3 linked regions of the Mus musculus genome follow. The protein of the gene in region 1 interacts with the protein of each later gene in a biochemical or structural test. Links are inferred from orthologs where the notes say so. Each region holds a gene or a part of one and is shown on either strand. Other genes may lie near its edges.

The links.
Region 2: of the proteins of Xiap (region 1) and Tle3, one has a biochemical effect on the other in vitro, tested with the Homo sapiens proteins (2 studies listed by BioGRID). The link is inferred for Mus musculus from reciprocal best matches to the Homo sapiens genes XIAP and TLE3.
Region 3: of the proteins of Xiap (region 1) and Htra3, one has a biochemical effect on the other in vitro, tested with the Homo sapiens proteins (3 studies listed by BioGRID and IntAct, with this or other methods). The link is inferred for Mus musculus from reciprocal best matches to the Homo sapiens genes XIAP and HTRA3.

The regions. Positions count from the first base shown.
Region 1 is NC_000086.7:42,066,650-42,070,399, reverse strand, and holds the start of Xiap (E3 ubiquitin-protein ligase XIAP), read right to left. Parts: upstream 2,565-3,750; 5' UTR 2,344-2,564; intron 2,250-2,343; exon of another isoform or gene 2,044-2,249; coding exon of another isoform or gene 1,918-2,043; exon of another isoform or gene 1,528-1,917; intron 1-1,527.
Region 2 is NC_000075.6:61,413,768-61,417,417, reverse strand, and holds part of Tle3 (transducin-like enhancer protein 3), read right to left. Parts: intron 3,476-3,650; coding exon 3,328-3,475; intron 2,708-3,327; coding exon 2,557-2,707; intron 1,857-2,556; coding exon 1,780-1,856; intron 810-1,779; coding exon 702-809; 3' UTR 1-701. UniProt on the Homo sapiens protein: Transcriptional corepressor that binds to a number of transcription factors. Inhibits the transcriptional activation mediated by CTNNB1 and TCF family members in Wnt signaling.
Region 3 is NC_000071.6:35,662,676-35,666,325, reverse strand, and holds part of Htra3 (serine protease HTRA3 isoform a precursor), read left to right. Parts: intron 1-81; coding exon 82-276; intron 277-879; coding exon 880-912; intron 913-2,248; coding exon 2,249-2,363; coding exon of another isoform or gene 2,364-2,387; intron 2,388-3,650. UniProt on the Homo sapiens protein: Serine protease that cleaves beta-casein/CSN2 as well as several extracellular matrix (ECM) proteoglycans such as decorin/DCN, biglycan/BGN and fibronectin/FN1.

The sequences.
Region 1 (3,750 bases):
CCTATACATGGTAAGCAAGTATTTACTGTACTACATACACCAATACAATCTTTACAGGCATAACCTTTTAAAAATAAGTTTAATCCAAAATGATTCTGTAAGTTAGATTTATCTGTATGTCAAATTTGATATCTGAATTTCATAGTTTCTACACTATTTGATAATCAGGAAGCTTATTCTTTAAAGATAAAGCCAAAGCTTTTTAGCATTTCTCATGAATACAGAACAGTAGGTAAAAGCCAAAAGAGAAACATAAATACAGACCTGTTCTGTGAAGACGAAATAAGCCATACTGGATTTTACAATAAAAATTACTGATAAGTGGATGTTCATAAATACCAATTGCAAATACTTATGTTGATATACATCTATGTGAGCTTTAAAACTTTCTAGAATAAGATCAAACTTGTTTATAATATTCAAACATGTAAGGCACAGGAGAAAAGCAAAGTTTAGTTTTCCATCCGTCTTCTTCAGAAGTAACCAGGGTTACCATTTTTTTTTATCTCTTTCATGGATCCATGTGACCCAATCCAAACAGCTATATAAGCTTATGTTTCTGTGTCTGTAGGTAGAAATCTATCTGACCTAAAATGTTTTCCATTCTTAAGTTATGGGGAAAACAATCCCTGACTCAAGTTTCACATACATGTTTACTACACTGAAAATGACAGAAATGTTAAATAGAATATACTTAGATATTTGCTTAGAGGTTATATTGAAGCAACAGGAGTGGGGTGGCCAGGGAGCTAGAAAATCTGAATTCTAATCTAACTAGCATGGCTAGCATGGTAACCTTACACAAATCATGAAACCCTGAGCCTTAGTTTCTGCTTTGTAAAACAAAAGAGTTGAGCTGAGATCCTTCCCAGCTCAAAAATGCTATAATTCTAAGATGGCCGGCTCTTAACAGTGTTCTCTTGAAACTGGCTACAAAAAAAAAAAAAAAATCCTATTAAGGAGAAAATGAGAAGAATGAAGAAACACTGTAGAACTTTCCAGTCTTTAAAAAAAAAGACATTTCTAGGATTCATTCACTATCAAGGTATAGCTAGGATGTCAGAAGTAGTGCCATAATTGTACTTGAAGGTAAAGTTGTAGATTATTACAAACTGATAGGTTTAGTCTTCCCCAAGGCTTATGTTCTCCTTTTTGGAGATGGAGTGAGCCACTGCTTAGTTTCAGCAATCACCACTCCCTTCCTCCCTCCCGCCCCTGCTTAAAAGAAAAACACCCCACAACTCAAGTAAACTGTGGAGTTCAACGGAGTTAAAGTAATGGAACTGAAAGTCATAAGTGACATTTTTTTCTCTCAGAAATATGCTGGGGAAGTGACCAAGGTGACAAAGAGGCAAAAATTACCAGCTACTTCCTCCTCTGGAAGCTCTTTGGCCCTCATTCTTTAGGGTTCACATGCCCTTGCCAGAAACACACCACCCTGCCCCATACAAGGTATCGAACTGGGGGGGGGGGCAGGGAGGTTGATCAAATCTTTTTTTTTTTTTTAATTATTTTAACTAGATTTACCTTAGGTGTCACGAAGTTTAAGGAGGCTGACCCGAAGGCTTGAAGCCAGCCCCCCTACCCACGGCTTCCAGGGGCAATCCCGGGGAGCCTGGATAGGGAGCCCAGTCCAGCATTCCCCGCGGGCGGGCGGGCGCGGCCTTCCCGCCCAACTAGGCAGAGCTAGCCCAGGCGGAAGGGAGGGGGAAGAAATGGAGGGAAGGAAAAGGAGGGAGGGAGGAGAAGGGGGGGAGAAGGAAGGAGGGGGGAGGAGGAGGAACGCGGGAGGAGGGAGGAGGAGGGAGGGAAGAGCAGAGCAGAGGAGAGGAGAGGGAAGAGAGGGGAGGGGAAGGGAGGGGAGGGGAGCAGAGGGAGAGGAAGGGAGGGCGGGAAACCCACAAGAGCTGTACCCACCGCGCCAAGCACTCCAGTCCTAACTAAGCGCCGCGGGCGACGGGTTCCCGAGGGGAGGGTCCCGGAGGAGGGGCGGCCCGAGCCCGGATCAGGAAAACACAACTCTGCTGGGCGGCGGGCCCCGGCCTAGGAGAAGGAAACGGAAGTCACTATGTCTGTCTCCCTCCCTTCCTTCCTCCCTCGGCCTTCCCAGGCAGGACAGTCCCATCGGATAAAACTCGAAGACCGGAACCAAGTGCATCCACGTCAGGACTTTTAAAAAAAAAAAAAACTCAACCGGTGCAGCCCGCCAGCTTCCCGGGCTCGCCCAGCCACTGGCCTCAGGCCATGTCCTTCCCACCGCCACCCCCATCCCCTCCCCCGGGAGCTCCGCTCCCGCCCGGCAGAGCCCCTCCTTCTTTCCCACTCCGCCATCTTCCAGCCTACCTCTCTGGCCGAGCGGCCCTCGATTAGCGTCGCGCCCGCTCGGGGGACCGCCAAGGTCCCGCCGCCTCCCAGAGCCGGAAGGGGACATCGAGAAAAACCCCAGTCCTCATTATGCAGCCCAACCCCCCCCCCACCCCCCAACCCCCGCCTCCCCAGCTCCAAGCCAGAGCCTGACCCAGCGGCTGCACATGCGCACAGGTCACTTCTCAGTCCCCGCCCCCGACTCAAGCATTTCCTCTTTTAGCATCCAGGACTTTTTCTCTCCCCCCTCCCCACCGCCCCCCAGCTTTTACCTGGACTCTAGGGTGAGGAGTAGGGGAATACAGGTAAGAAGATTAAAGACCAAGGGGAAAAGGGCACAGTACATTGAGCTCTCACAGGATACCAGGGACTCTGCTAGGTATATAACATATTCCTCAATGTTATTTTGAAAACCATGGAAGGCAGAACACCTCTATTAAATTCCACCCTACAGAGGAAACTGAGCCCCGGAGAAAATAATTATCCCAGTATCACCCACCCGACAAAAAAGTAAACTGAGATTAGAGAATCGGTTGTTTCCAAATAGAGGAAGCTAGAAGGAATGACGAGACAGGGAGACAAAAAGAGGGTGAGAGAAATTTGTGAAGAACAAAGAAAAATAATAGAACAAAGATGGAAAAGACACAAGAGAAGATTATACAAAATGGTGATCATGCTATATGCTTGTAGGGTTGTCAGATAAACCTATACTTAGGTTTCAGGAACTTTGACTCTTAATGGCTAGTGTACTAAGATGGATTGGGTATATTTAAAAGGAGAAGACCATGGGCACCATCTGCCTGGTTAAATAATGCTGTCCTTGATGAAAAGGAACTTGGAAGAGAAGACAAAGAAATGTATTTGGTTCTTCAACTTTTGCCAATGTAATATTCCTTCTAATGCAATCTTTTTTAAAAATTATTACATTGTCTTACTGTATGAGGTCAGAGGGCAACTTGAGTCTGTTCTCTCCCAGCATGTGGGTTCTAGGGAAGAACTAATGTCCTCAGATTTGGTGGTGATGCCCTTCCCCACTAAGCCATCTGTGTCCCAGGCCCCCTGGGGTGTACTCTTACAGCTCTGAAAATTGCATCTGACTTATTACAATGAAGGTAATTCCAAGCGAGGGCTGGGAATGAGGCTCAGTAGTAGATCACTTGTCTAGCACATACAAGGTTGAATTCAAACCCCACCACTGCCAACAAAACAACTGCAAGCAAATACTGATCTCACCTGTCCAGCACTCTTAAATAAGCAAACCAACAAAGCTCCATCTTTATCAACAGAAGGGTCAGAAGTTCAAGGCCATCCTCAATAGGAAGTTTGAGGCCAGTCGGAGATGCAAGGGACCCTGTCTGGGAAAAAAAGAAAAGAAAAAAAGTCCCA
Region 2 (3,650 bases), on another chromosome or scaffold:
GGCGCTAAAACCCGTGTGGAGATATACTTCAGTCCCAGTGCGCCAGGATGGCTTGTCCATCCCCAGGAAGCTCCTCACTCGGCTCCCCAACTCTCTTATCTCTGTTTCCTTTCCCCACAGAACAGCTGGTAAAAAAAAATTTAAGAAAGGAAAAAAAAAGAAAAGAAAAGAAAGAAAAGCCACCACCATGAGTGGGTTACAAATACAGCAGGCAAAATCCACGGCGAGCAATGGTGGGATGGGGTTCCTCCCTCACTGGCCAGTCAGCAACCAGTCTCTTATTTACACTGTTCACAAACCTTGTGCACTGCACAATCAGAACGAGGCGCCCCTCCCCAGAAACAACAATGTCTACTCCTGCATCTCCCCGCCCCCCATCCCAGAGTGGGGCGGGGACAGGTCAGAGAAGGGAGGAAGAGACAGAGACTTATGAGGATGTCTGTGGGAGAAACGGAAGCAGAAGCCTCCAGAGAAATCTAATTGAAGCATCTGCCAGCACTGGTTAGGGGGAGAGGAGAAAGTCCTTCAAGTCTGTCAGACACATCAATCCACGAAGGGGCGTGCGTCCTCTCCACCTTCTGGAGGGCAGCCCCACAATGCTGCTCCCTCCTTCTGCCGTCCTCGGGGCCTGGCCAGCATCTCCCTGTCAGGGCCACGTGGGTGTCTCTCCCAGAGTTTGACAGGCCTGTTAGAGTCCTTGTTCAGTAGATGACCTCGTAAACTGTGGCCTTCTTGTCACCAGAGCCTGTTACAATATATTTGTCATCCGCTGAAATGTCACAGCTCAAGACAGATGAGGATTCTTTTGACTGGGGGAGGAAGACATGGAGAAACAGGAAGACATTTAGTGTGGGGAGAAAACAGACAGGAATTCTCCCTGGCACTTCAGGGCTCTGAACGAAATCGCATCCTACTCTCCGGCTCAGGCTGAGCAGGTGCTGGTAGAAAGAGGCCCACTTCCTCTGCGGCTTGGAGTCCCTTCCTCCTGCCTCTTCATCTGGAACACCTCCTGAGCTGGCTGTAGTAGGATCTTCCCCAGGTTTAAGGATGAGAACAGGACACTTAGCATAAGCATCTCTGCTAAGTTTACTGATGGGAAGGAGCGCTTCAGAGCCACAGCCGCAAGAGACAGACCCTTCATTCAGCCAGGCCAGCTGGAAAGACTGGTCCTGGGTTTGCAGGCCCTCAACAAAACTAGAGACTTTCCAAGGGACACACGTGGCACAGGAAGCTGAAGAGTGTGTGTGTGTGTGTGTGTGTGTGTGTGTGTGTGTAAGAGCAAGAGTGGTTGTAAGAAAAAAGTGATTATAAGTTGCACCAGGGAGAGAGGATTGAGTGTGTCTGAAATGGAGAGGCTCTAGATCTTTAAATCTGTAGAAACGCATGTCCATTCTAGCCCCCTCATCACACTGATGGCTTAGGGTGGCCATCCTGACCTCAATGGGTGTCAGTGGGTGAAATGGCTACTCCACGGGCCCAGCTGCCCAGAGCCAGCCAAGCTCACTATTTTACGCACCAGGTGCCACATGAGTGAGTCCCTTCCTAGATGCTCTTACCCTCAAGGATTCACAAGCCTTTAGCAACAGAGGGTGTGTCTTTATCTGGTCCTCACATCCTTCCCTCTGGGGTCCGCCATCTAGTAAGGGCTAGTGGGGGTAGGGGTTAGTAGGTCTGCTCCTAGCTCCAGACTCCTCCTGTCCTGCCTCCGGCTACCCTCAGCCCAACTGCTGTGGCCGCATCCCGACTCGGGAGGAGTGGGGAGGAAAATCAGGAGTGTACCTGGAAGATGCTGGCTCCATAAGGCGTCCTCCAGGCATTGAGAAGGTTGTCTTTCCCAGTGCTCACAAACCACTTGCCTGCAAGGCAAGCAAAGGAGCCCTCAGACTGTGGCTCGCTGCCTTGTGCAGCAGGACCCAACCCAGCTGTGTCTGCCCCGCGTGGAAACATCCTCAGACATGCTTGACCACGGTTTTAGTGTTTGCTGTTCTCCACTCCTGAAGAGCAGTTACAAGCATGGCACACAGATACCTAGAGGATGCCTTCCCCTGCTGCCCAGAGGGAGAGCCAGAACAGAACAAAATGCAATTAACTGTGTTGAGCATGTTTCCCAAAAAGATCCCTGCCAAAGCCACTAAAGTCAGCTAGTCCTTCCCAGTCTATGACCAGAAGGTGGAGAGAGCACCAGAAACAGCCAAAGACCAATAGTCAGAGAGGACGTTCCTCCAAGAGCGCTCCTAGCTGTGGCTCCTAACATCCCCCACAGCCACGTACTCTTCCCAGACAGTTTCTCTGAGGCTAAGAGTTGGCACCATGTGTAACCTTCAGAGAAGATCCAGGTCAACATGGAAAGCCTACTGTCCTGAGAGTTTAGTGTCCTGGAGTGACATCCATATCTAAGACAAGGGTGGGGGACAAGGAAGGTACTTTTCTCCTCCAGGACATTAAAGGAGCATAAGCTTGGCTGACTCAAGACTGTGGGTCCCCTACTTCCCCACTGTCTACTGGACCAGGCTCCCCATGCTGGCTCTCATGCCAGGCTAGGGCTTCAGGGCTTACCACAATAGGCGAACTTGAGGGACAGCACGCAGCTCTCGTGCAGGTGCAGCTGGTATTTGTCGGGCTTAGTGTGGTGCAGGACCTCCACATTGCTGCTCTCCATGCCCACGGCCAGCCACTCCCCAGTGGGGCAGTAACCCAGGGAGAAGATCTGCAAGGACAGACAGTTCAGTGTCCCTCTACCCGCAGGGCTGGAGCAGCCCCTTGGGTAGGGTTAGAGCCTCCTCCCTCCTCCCTCACCACTTACAAACAAATCCGCTAACCAGCTGTCTGTTGCCCCTACCCGCCACCCCAGGATGTCATTTGTATCCCATTGAGGAAGCTGGCTTTGGAGGTTGAGCAGGAGGGGCTGCAATTCCCAGGCCCTGAAAGCTATGCTCAGCTCACTCCCTAAGAAACTGGCAACGACTATACTCCACATTATGGTACTGACTGTTAAAAGGATGAAGCAAGTCTAACAAGCAAGAAATATCATGGCTCATGGGCGAGGTTCACAGGAGGCTTGAGTCAGGTGCCCACCCCAGAGCTGGGAGGGAGCATGCGCAAACTGCAGAGCACAGGGAGCAAGCTGTGGACTTAGAATGAGTTGGGTGTGTGCCCATTTCTGAGGGCATGCATGCCCAGTCTACACCACTGCTGCTGCTTACAAGCAACCTTCCCGGATTGGCTCGGGCTGGTCCCTTGGCAGTCAATCATGACCCTGTGTGGTCACTCTGTCCCCTGACAGCTGCTGGGGCCCAAGAGGAAGCACACAGTGCTTGGGTTACACACCTGGGAGGTGAAATCGTGTTGCTGTAACTGCCGTCCTTCACGTAGGTCCCAGGAGCGCACGGTGTTGTCCAGGCCCCCGGTCCACAGCTTAGTGCCATCATGAGAGATGTCTATACAGCTGGCCCCATCTGTGTGGCCCTGGAACTGCCTATGAAGGCCAAGCAAGGAAGAAGGGTGAGCCCCAGAGACTGCAATCATCCCAAGGACTGGGCCAGCTACGCAGCCAAGCTAGAAGGAAACTGGAAGTACAAAACACTGGATCACGTGTCTCAAAACCTTAGCCAACAGGAAGCCGAGCTAGACCAGGCCTCTGCTAGTCCACT
Region 3 (3,650 bases), on another chromosome or scaffold:
TCCTTCCTCTCCAGAAAGCAGCCTGCCAGGATCCCTGTCTGGTCTGAGCCTCAGTCCTCTCTCACACCCTTCTCCTTCCAGAAAAAGCTCCCTGTGTTGCTGCTGGGTCACTCAGCAGACCTGCGGCCTGGCGAGTTCGTGGTGGCCATCGGCAGCCCCTTTGCCCTGCAGAACACCGTGACAACGGGCATTGTCAGCACTGCCCAGCGGGATGGCAAGGAGCTGGGTCTCCGGGACTCAGACATGGACTATATCCAGACCGATGCCATCATCAATGTGAGTGCTGTGGGGAAGGCTGACCTCGGCAACTTCGGACCAGCTTGTGCCCTGTCCTATCATACAACACACCACCATCTAGGAAGGCCTTTGTTATCTCATGCAGAGCATCCACCCACCCAGTGACTGTCTCCAGGGATGGGCCATCTTGGACAGTTGCAGAGATGAAGTGGCCCAGGCATACCCTTGGAAGGTCATAGCCTAACCTGCATAAGTTGTCACTTGACTAAGATTAAGGTTATATTGGATGGCACCATGACATTCTCACATCTCCAAGCCTGGGTGCCTTGGCATGTACCCCTATGCCTGCCATGACTGGTAGCCTGGTAGCTGGAGCCATTCATAGCTGTAGAGATGACACTGCCTGTCTTGCAACTGCCTAGCAACTGGCAAGTTGTGGAAACATGGAAGCACAGGGTCTGGGCAGAGTCCTGGAGGGTCAGTGGGATAGCTGCCTGCCACTGTCTTTGGGTTGAGTATCAAGGCAGTAGAAGTCCATTCTGGTGACCTGTCTTGTCACTGACTGGAGTCAGTGGTGGGGAAAGAGCTTGGGGACCACTGGGGAGTTCACGGCACAGCTAACAGTGGTTTTCTCCTTTGCAGTACGGGAACTCAGGAGGACCCCTGGTGAACCTGGTAAGTGAACCCTAAAGTGCAGTGTCTGGTTTTCTAGGCTTTGCTTACACAGAGGCACAGGCTAAAGATAGGGACAAACCCTATACAGCCCTAGGAACTGCAGTCAGTGGTCAGTAGTGTGGCCATGTTGGAGGCCCAGGAAGACCTGAGCCCTAGGTCTATGATGCCTGGAATCCACAAGGACAACAGAATAGTGGTCAGGCTGGGGCCATGTGCTCCCCCATGACATCGGGCAATGGGGGCACAGATCAGGTTGTTACTGCCCTGGGCCTTGCTATCCTCAGTTATAATCGGAGGTGAGAGAAGAGACCACACCCATGAGTTCTATAACCCACACTCATTCCAGAGTCAGCCTCAGCATCATTCTGGCTGAAAATTTTCCAGAACAGGGCAGAAGATTCAGCTGGGATCCCAGGCTCTGAGAACTTAGCGACAGAGTGGTAATATGCACACGAGGAGGCTCTGAAGAGACACGGCCCTCACCACTGAGATAGAACAGGGGCTGGAAGCATTTAGTGAATGTGTGGAGATGAAGGAATGGGTGGAGAAGGATATGCCAAGGACAAGACACAGCACATGGGAGCGCTGCTGGGGCTGGAGAAGACAGCCATGGGGCAGCCCATGGGCTGGGACAGTGTACCCTGGCACTCAGGTGACTTGCACAGGTGGCTGTCTCCTCCACACTCACGATTCTCCAGGCAAGGCTGCTGATGGAGAGGCTCATGTGGTAGGGCTAAATTCTTAACTTTCTTCTCTAGGCCCCAACAAGTTCCCTGACAAGCTGGTAGTGCCCTGGCTGGGTTGTCTAGGGCAAGCATCCTGCACCCCTCCCATGGTCAGGCCTTTGGGAGGGGTTCTGCCCAGGAGTGGGTCCCTTTGACTGGGGCAGCTCCTGGTCTGGTGGCATTGGCTCCATGAAGCAGGGCAGGGTGGGAGCTGAGCTCCGAATGGATTATGAGCTGCTGCCGTGGCCCTGCTCACTGGTCTTTGCTTTCATAGAAAGGGACAGAAGGGGTCCAAGTCTCTGATGGGGATAGATGGTGTCCTGAGTGCAGTGGACACTGCCTCCTAGGGCAGAGATGCTGGAGCTGGGGAGGCAGGAGCAACCCGATAACTTTCCTAGATGCCCTTTCCAGGGGGAAGAACAGAGAGATCCCCAGGATTTGGTGGTACACAGGGTGGGGCACTCAGAGAGCCGTGGTTACAGGAGGGCATCTCAGTGGAGCACTGACAGCCAACTCTCCCTGGAGAGAGTGCTCTTACCCTGGGCTCGGCAGCAGTCTGCGGTTTGCTTGCACTACTCCAAATAACCCCACACTTCTCTCTCTCTGCCCAGGATGGCGAGGTCATCGGCATCAACACGCTCAAGGTTGCAGCTGGCATCTCCTTTGCCATCCCCTCAGATCGCATCACACGCTTCCTCTCTGAGTTCCAAAACAAGCATGTGAAAGGTAAAGAACTCTCCCGAGGGGCAGGTAAGACAGGATCCCCAGGATGAGGTCCTGCCCCACCCATGTGAGCCAGGGCCCAGCTGCAGGAGCTATGTATACCATGTTTACTCCTAACTAGGTCTGTTATCCTCCCCAGACCAGGAGACCCCAGGCATCTCATTTGCAGCTTCTCTTAGGGCCTTCCTCCAGGCCTCTCAGCTCATGAACAAAATCATCCTCTGCTCCTCCAGACAGTTTTTCCCCCCAGGTCCTACCATCCAAACTTGGATTCCTGGGACTCCTCTTAGTTGGCAGAAAATTATGTTTCTTTCCTTCCACCCACCTGTCCACCCACCCATCCATCCACCATTCATCTACCTCCACACCTAATCCTTCATCTATGCATTCATCTGTTTATCGACTCCTCAATCTAACCATTCATCTGTATGCCAACCCACCCATCCATTCTATTACCATTCCATCCATTCATCCATTTACCTACTTGTCCACTCAACTTCCCACTCATCTATACACTCATCAATTTATCCATTCACCCATCCATTATCTATCCATCTACCCACTCACCCATCTACCCATCCATCCACCTATCCATCCACCCATCCATCCATCCATCCATTCATCCACCCACCCACCCATCATCCACCTATCCATCCATCTATTCATCCATCTATTCATCCATCTATCTATTCATCCATCCATCCATTCATCCATTCATCTATCCATCCACCTACCCTTCCATCCATCCATCCATCCATTAATCCAGCTACCAGTCTTCCCATTCATCTATATATTTACTCACCTGCTCATTCATCTTTTCGTATATCCATCCATTTATCCATCTGTCCATTCATTCATTTATCATCCATCCATTCACCCATCTATCCATTTACCATTCATTCATTCATTCATTCATTTATTTATCAATCCATCTATCCATCCATCTACCCCCATTCGCTGATTCACTCATCCACCAATCTACCCATTCATCTATCCATCCTCATATCCATCCTCCCATCTATCCACACACCCACTCACTCCCCTCAATCTGCCCACACATCTACCCATCTACTCATCTGCCCATTCATCCCTCTTATCCTTTCATCTATCTACTCATCTACTTGTACACACCTCCAGTCATTCATCCATTCTGTCACTCATCCCCCCATCCATTCATGCACCCATCAGTCCACCCATCCATGATTCATCCATTGACTCATCCTCCTTCCCCCCACCCATTTCTGCTCCACCCATCCATCTATCTACCCATCCCTAAGTACCCTTCTCAGC